Linked DNA regions of Cricetulus griseus. The protein of the gene in region 1 binds, or shares a complex with, the protein of each later gene. Links are inferred from orthologs where the notes say so. Each region holds a gene or a part of one and is shown in the gene's direction. Other genes may lie near its edges.

Region 1 (3,512 bases):
CCACCAACGCCCAGCTATGATAGTGATATTTCACATACAAGATTTTCTGGCATAATAGGAGCCCTTCTTGTGATTTTTTCCCCTTAAAACAATTCACTTTTATTTTGAATTGTGTGTGTGTGTGTGTGTGTGTGTGTGTATTCTCTCATAGGTGAGATCTGAACTTATATATACGCTCACCCAGGACAGGAGAGTAGAGGGGACCACAATGAGGGAGAAGGGAGTTTGAGGTCTGGGGACAAGAGAGTAGGGTCAGTAGACAAAGAATATTACCACATTTTCTCCTACATTTCCATTCCCCCTCCTTGTATAGTTTCTAAAACATTAGCTGTTTATTTTGCCAATGAGAAAACAGCAGCACAGAAATTTTAGATAAAAAACAGATAAATTTTAGTAAAAAACAGAGCCAGGATTGAGACACTGAAGCTGGCTTTACAGTCCAAAAGTGTCGTTACTGTCAGTAGCCCAAGCATTTAGCCACAGGTTAAGAATCAATTGGGAGACAAATGATGTCTTGTGGTTCCTCAGTACTTGAATTTAGGTCTGAAAAATATTTTGGCTTTTCTTATATAGCCCTCAGGATCTGAAATACATTACTAAATTTGGTACCAATTTTCACTTTTTAGTACAATTCTCCTTTTATTTTGTATAGTTTTATATTGTTTTGTATTATTGTAGTATTATTTGTATTTGTATTATTGTATTATTATTTGTATTTGTATTATTTGTATTTGTATTATTGTAGTTTTATATTGTTTTATATTTGTTTATATTGTATAGTTTTATATTGTTTTGTTGTCTGTCTCACTGTGTTGCCCAGTGAGTTCTCTCGTGACTCCACTCAGCCTTCCTTACCCATGACCACAGGTCCATGCCACTACGCTGTCTGTGTATATTGTGTTTTGCCTGCATGTGTCCCTACACGCCAGCAGAGGGCACAAGATCTCATTACAGTTGGTTGTGAGCCACCATGTGGTTGCCGGGAATTGAACTCAGGAACTCCAGCCCCGGGATGATCATGTTTATTACCAACCTTATTCCATGGAGAATTTGAGATGAAAGAAAATGAAGATATAGGGATTAGCTCAGAATCTGACATGCCCAGGCACAAAGCCTGGGTGTTCCATCCCCAATACAGAAAGAAAAAAGTAAATAAATAAATAAATAAATAAATAAATAAATAAATAAATTAAATGGTGTGAAGTGGACTGATGCCTCTAAGACACTGTCTCTCCTCTCATAAAAACCAAGATCTCATCTTGCTATTTTATACTTACAATATGGCAAATTTACAGATCACTGTGGGTTTTTGTTGATTTGTTATTTTACTGTTCATTTTTGGATTGTTGCTTTGTAGTTTTGAGCAGGGTCAACCTTAGCCAAAGCTGGCCTGAAACTTAATATCCTGCCAGGTGACCCAGAAATCCTGACTTCTGCCCTCCACCTCCCAGGTGCCAGGATCGCAAGCCAGAACCATCAGACTCTTGCTCTTTTACCCTTTGTGATGCTGGGGTTGGGTCCAGGGCCTTCCACATGTTAAGGATGTATTCTATCATGGGCCTACCCCCTCAGCCCCAAGCTTCACCTTTGCTCTTTGTCTTATAGTTCACCAGGCATTAAGTTAGGGGATGACAGAATGTGTGGAGGCAGGAAGACAAGAAACAGTGGGATATATGTTTTGATGGGGCTGAAGAAAGGTCTGTTTTCTTGGAGTATGGAATGTAAGTGGAGAAAAAGGTTGAAAAATACACAGCAGTCCTCTTAAAGTGTTGTCTCTTTAAAACAATTATCTCTAAAGACTTTCTTTTTAAGATTTATTTAGTTTGTATGTGTACGAATGTTTTGTTTGAGTCTATGTCTGTGCACCATGCACACCCACCGAGGTCTGAAGAGGGTGTGTGGGTCCCCTGGAACTGGAGTTACAGATGGTTGTGAGCCCCCACATGGGTCTTCTGCAAGAATAAGTACTCTTAACCCCTAAAACAGTATCTTTAACACCATTTATTTTCAGAAAGCAAGCCACGAAAAACCATCTGCGGTCTCAAGTACAAGGAAATTATCTCTTCCTTTGTCAGAAATGAAACAACGAGGCCAGGACTTAATCTTAAAGAAGCCTACCAGGCAGACCATCATAAACCTGGAGACACTGAAGAAAATTCAGAATGATAGGTAAGAAGAAGGGAAGGTAATCATACCAGCCAGCAGGTGTGAAAGAGGACACCTGCTTCTGTGAAGGTCCCAAAAGTGGAGTGGCACAGTTTAAAACATGGCCAGCCTGGTCTACAGAGCAAGTTCCAGGACAACCAGGGCTACACAGAGAAACCCTGCCTTGATAAACTAAAACAAGCTGGGCAGTGATGGCACATGACTTTGATCCCAACACTCTGGAGGCAGAGGCAGGTGGATCTCTGTGAGTTCGAGGCCAGCCTGGTCTACAAAGTGAGTTCCAGGACTGGCTCCATAGTTACTGAGAAACCCTGCCTTGAAAAAAATCAAAACAAAACAAAAAAACAAAAACCCAAAACAAGCTGGCTGGTGGTGGCGCATGCCTTTAGTTCCAGCACTCGGGAGGCAGAGGCAGGCAGATCTCTGTGAGTTCAAGAACAGCCTGGTCTACAAGAGCTAGTTCCAGGACAGCCTCCAAAGCCACAGAGAAACCCTGTCTGGAAAAACCAAAACCAAAACAAAACAAAAAACCCCCCAAAAACAAATAAAAAAAAAGCAAAACAAACAAGCAGCCCCCCCCCCAAATAACCCATGGTGCTGTATTATCTTGAACAAGTTAACGAGCTTTTGTTCTCCCTTTCCTCTTACTCTCCCTACCTCTTTCTTCCCCCTTTTCTTTTTCTTTTTCTCCCATTCTCCCTCTCTCCCTACCTCTCTTCTTTCTTTTCTTGCTTCGCGTTCTTTCTTTTTCAGTCTCTAGTCCCAAGTGGTCTGAACTCACTGTGTAAACCAGGCAGGCCTAAAATTTCTGGGCCTCTTGCTTTCTACTGAGTTCTGGGCTTACAGATCTGCACCACCACATCCTATTTTAGTTTGTAACTTTCTTTCTTTCTTTCTTTCTTTCTTCTTCTTCTTCTTCTTCCTTTTTCTTCTTCTTCCTTCTCCTCCTCCTCCTCTTCCTCCTCCTCCTCCTCCTTCCTTCCTTCCTTCTCCTTCTTTTTTTTTTTTTCCAGACAGGGTTTCTCTTTGTAGCTCAGGCGGTCCTGGAACTCGCTCTGGAGACCAGGCTGGCTTTGAACTCACAGAGATCTATCTATCTGCCTGTTTCTGCTTCCTAAGTGCTGGATTAAAGGTGTGTGCCATCACTGTCTGGCAGAAACTCTCTTCTTAATAGAGCTGTTAACTCTTTTTTGTATGAATTATTATTGATAAGTACAAAATGATAAATATAATTTTTCCAACTCTGTATCAAAACAAATTAAAAAATTAGGTTTAATTGGTGTGTGTGTGTGTGTGTGTGTGTGTGTGTGTATGAGTGTATGAGTTTTGCCTGCATATATGTATGT
Region 2 (4,277 bases), on another chromosome or scaffold:
CACAGACATACAAGACAATTTCCAGACAGAATGTCCCATTGTATAACACAACTTTATTCGCTAGAAACTTATGTGGTAGAAACAAATAAATAAAAGCACTATAAACCATTCCAAGAGCTTGTGGAACTATGGAACCACTGAGGAAGAGGTGGAGAAAGACTTAGGGAGCAGGCAACATTTAGGATCCTCTGCAATCAGGAATGGCCGGTTCTCTTTCTCCCCACACTTGCTTGGCCTGCTTTGAAGGTTCATTGCACTCTGTTTACAGAAGTTCAGTTAAGAAAAACCAGTAACACAAAATTAAATACAGCCTGGCGGTGTGCATGCCTTTAATCCCAGCACTCAGGAGCAGAGGCAGGCTGATCTCTGTTGAGTTCGAGATCAGCCTGGTCTACAAAAGCTAGTTCCAGGACAGCCTCCAAAGCCACACTGAGAGAAAGCCCGTCTCGAACCTCCCTTCCCCCTCCCCAAATTTAAATACTAATATCTTGCATTTTAAAAGCCTTAACATTTAGTTGTTATTTTTATAATAAATTTTTAAATGAGTACACATGCCCTGAAATATCATTAAGGATTAAAACTAGTTATTCATCTGAGCCACATTGTTAAAGACATTTTAATACTTTTTTTTTTAAAAAGAAAACATCCAAATATATCAAGCTTACCCATAAAATAACAAAACACTACAGCCAAGTTCCTCAGGAACATAGGATTCAAAACTCTCCCTGGAAGGTCACGCCAAACTGCACCATCAACCTATCAATGTGTGTAATACTGAGAACAGACCGGCAATTTATTCGTTGCTATGAGAACACTATTTTGTACCAGACATTGCAGCCTTGACGACGCAGTGTTTTGCGCCTATTTTGCACGTGTTTTCCTACAGCGAGCCCTCTCTCGCGATCCCGGAGAGAGGCCTGCTGGCTTCCTCCGGCAGCGGCCCACGTCCGTTTTCGCTCCAGTTTCCCTGGGCTGCGCAGTGGCTCCGCTTAGAGGGCGACCCAGGGGACGCACCGGGCCTGGCTGGCGGGCGAGCGGGAGGGAGGGCAGCGGGCGAGCGGCCTTACGGTTGTGAATGGGCCGGGGAGAAGCCGCGCTCTGCACGCGAGCTCTGCGCAAAAACAATACAAAACCAAACCGAAGCAGCAGAAACCGCAAATAAGTAAATAAATAAATAAGTAAATAAACAAATAAGCACACAAACGAGGCAGCCCCGTCCCCCGAGGGGGAGCGCGCAGCGCTTGAACTCTCAGGACGGTCACAAACAGGCCAAGGCGGGCTCCGGAACTTTATTAATAAACGACTCCCCTAGGCCGCAAGACCCCGGGGCTGGGCTGGGGGAGCGGAGCGGGCCCCGGGCGGAAGCGGGAGGACCCCCGCGCGCCGAGGGGCTCCCTCCCGCAGGCCGGGCTCGCGCGCCCCGCAGGGCTTGTGATGGGCATCTCCCAGGCGACGGGCTCCGCACCAAGATGGCGGAGGAGAAGGAACGGGAAGGCACAGGTAGGAACGCTGCCGGGGCCTCCATCTTGAGCCCCTCGGCGGCGCGGGGCGGCGCGGCGCGGCGGGCAGACGGGGGCCGAGGAGCGGCGCCAGCCCGCGTCCCCGCCGTCGGCTCCGCCCCGCGGCCCCTCCGCCCCGCCCGCCGCGCCCTCCCATCCCCCGGCTGAGGTCCGCGCGGGCTGCGGCCGTGGCAGCCGCAGGGGACCTTCATAATGGCGTCCTTGTTCCCGGGGCCTCCACGCCCGCCGCGCCCGGGACTGTGGGGACCCGGAGGCCGGCCTCACGGCGGACGCGAGCCGGCGCCGGAACCGGGCGGGAGCCTCTGCGGTCGCGCCGTAGCCACGCCCGGCCCGGCCCCAGGCGCCGGCCGCCTCCATGTTGCCTCCTCCGCCAGGCGGCAGAGCGAGGCCTCGAGGTCACACCGGGCCGTGCTCGCCCGGGTGTCGCCAGAACCTCGCTTAAAGGAAGAGATGCCCAAATAACCGCTTTATAATAAGAACGGAAAGGAAAACCCAGCCGGGGACCCGTCGGGGCCGCCCGGACCCGCCGGGTTCCCCGCGCGTGCTGGGGACCGACCGAGGCGGCTGCAGTGACCCGCGAGGCCTCCGGGGACCCCGAAAAGCGACGATCCGCGTTGAACTGCTAGACCCTTTGAGTTGGCTTCTAACCCAGCAGCGTGACTTAAAATCGGGTCCGTGGTTAGCGTCCAGTGACCCAACAGCAATTACACCACAATTGACCGAAATCACCGCTCCATAAATCAGTAAATAAATACATAAAGCAAGCCCTAAGATAGTAAAGGGCAAATATTCGTGGAGGGAAGGTCACGCTCCATCTTTGTTGCAGTTTTTTTGAGTTTTCACAACGCACCATATCGACCCTCCTCCACTCTCAGTTTGGAACAAAGTAGTTAACTAATATTTACATGAGGTGTTTAGTCCATCGTCATGGTGACCGCAGAAAAGCAGCAGGGAAACTGTGAGACTGCCAGAGATCTGTTTATTGATAACTGGAAATTGAGATTTATACATGATAAAATTAATCTCAGAAGCCGGGATTGTAGTACAGGTTTAACCCTATTAAGGTATTAAGGTTTTGTGTTACTGCTTTAGAAGTGAAAGGAACACTCTTAAGAAAAATGTCCATGTACTTTTTTTTTTTTTTTTTTTTTTTAAGAATATGATAGTTGTTGAGTAGGGGGGTAGGGAGGATCAGGGAGGTGAAAGAATATGACCAAAATAATATATGAAAAAAATTTTCACATAAAAAAGCTTTCCCTTTTATTTAATTAGATTCTTATTTACCCCCCCCCCAAAGAAAATAAAAGGGAAAAAGAACTATTAGGAGATAAATTACATTTTTTAAAAAAGACTTGCTTAGGGGAGCATTGGCATATACTGCCAGTTTTTACAATGCAAGAAAATATATTCTTTTATTTACCTTGTGCCCCTGATTGGTTTGTAGAACTCAGTGATGTGATTAAAGGAGTATGCCCAGTCTGATTTTTAGCCCTAGAGAGAGGGAGGGAGGGAAGGAGGGAGAGAGAGAGAGAGAGAGAGAGAGAGAGAGAGAGAGAGAGAGAGAGAGAGAGAGAGAGAGAGAAAGAGAATGAATTCCTGATTCTTTAGTTAACAAAGCATATTTTTCAGCTTAAAATACATTTAGAGGAAGAAACAGTTCTGTCTGCAACTGTACAAGTTAAGTAGTGGCTGTTGAAAGCTGAATTTCATATATATTAAAGTTCTTGTATATTTAATGCTTGTTTGATGGAAAGTTAGTATTAAACTGGAGAATTTTGAGAAGACCAAACCTGTGATTGTCCAACTGAAGCAAGCTCTATTAAATACTGACCAGGAAGGTGGAGACTAGCCAGGTCTGTATTCAGGATTCCCAGAGAAATGGTGCTGAAATCAGGTCAGTCAGGTGCCTATAAAGGCCAAACCCACAAGGCCACTGTACTTTCCACCTTTGGCCAATGGGGGCAAACATACACCCTGTCCTATTTCCTGCCTAGGTAAATCTCCAGCCTCTCTCTGATCAAACACATCCTGTGCAGATGGGGCAACCAACCTTGTTTATTGAAGTGAAAATATGTGACTTGTTATCTTACAAGGACAACAGCCCCCAGCATTCCAGGAAGTGTTCTGTCCTTGGGCAAGTGGGGCTTGCAGGTTAACTTTAGCCTTAGGTGAAGTCAGAACTTAAGTGACTAAGAAGATGAGGAAGGCATTGGCTTTGCCCTCTCTATGGCCTCATCAGTAAGGGAGATTAGAAACATAACAGCTGGAAAACATGCCAAGAGGAGCAATAGGAAGGAGCCAGGGCCAAGATAAGACACCCCCCCCCCAGGACACACCCCAGCATCCTTTTTCATTCAAGAGACCTTACCTTTTATAGTTCTGTTCAAAGTTTTGAATCTATAAATGGATTAGGTTAGTGCCCTCAAGATCCAGTTGTCCCTGGGAAAGCCCTGAGACACATTGAGAGGTGTGCTGTGTCTCTGTCCAGTAAAGTGGATAATTAAGATGAAGAATTGCTAAAATGGGCGTTGGTGGTGCACACCTTTAGTCCCAGCAGAGACTAAAGGCCTGTAGGAGGCAGAGGCAGTCAGATCTCTGTGAGTTCAAGGCCATCCTGGTCTACAGAATGAGTTCCAGGAAAGCCTCCAAAGCAATACAGAGAAACCCTGTCTGGGGAGGGGGGAGGGAGGGAAAAATTGCTTGGAAAAACCTTTCTATGTGGTTATGTATGTGTTGATGTAGTTATGCTTCTCTGTA

What was found.
Region 2: Iqcg (region 1) and Efcab2 share a complex: the UniProt entries of both Homo sapiens proteins name them as parts of the nexin-dynein regulatory complex. The link is inferred for Cricetulus griseus from reciprocal best matches to the Homo sapiens genes DRC9 and DRC8.

What each region holds. Positions count from the first base shown.
Region 1 is NC_048597.1:56,503,555-56,507,066, forward strand, and holds part of Iqcg (dynein regulatory complex protein 9), read left to right. Parts: intron 1-2,011; coding exon 2,012-2,169; intron 2,170-3,512. UniProt on the Homo sapiens protein: Component of the nexin-dynein regulatory complex (N-DRC), a key regulator of ciliary/flagellar motility which maintains the alignment and integrity of the distal axoneme and regulates microtubule sliding in motile axonemes.
Region 2 is NC_048598.1:15,756,269-15,760,545, reverse strand, and holds the start of Efcab2 (dynein regulatory complex protein 8), read left to right. Parts: upstream 1-1,469; coding exon 1,470-1,500; coding exon of another isoform or gene 1,501-1,877; exon of another isoform or gene 1,878-2,388; intron 2,389-4,277. Other genes in the region: protein SOGA3, read right to left, coding at 1,293-1,877. UniProt on the Homo sapiens protein: Component of the nexin-dynein regulatory complex (N-DRC), a key regulator of ciliary/flagellar motility which maintains the alignment and integrity of the distal axoneme and regulates microtubule sliding in motile axonemes.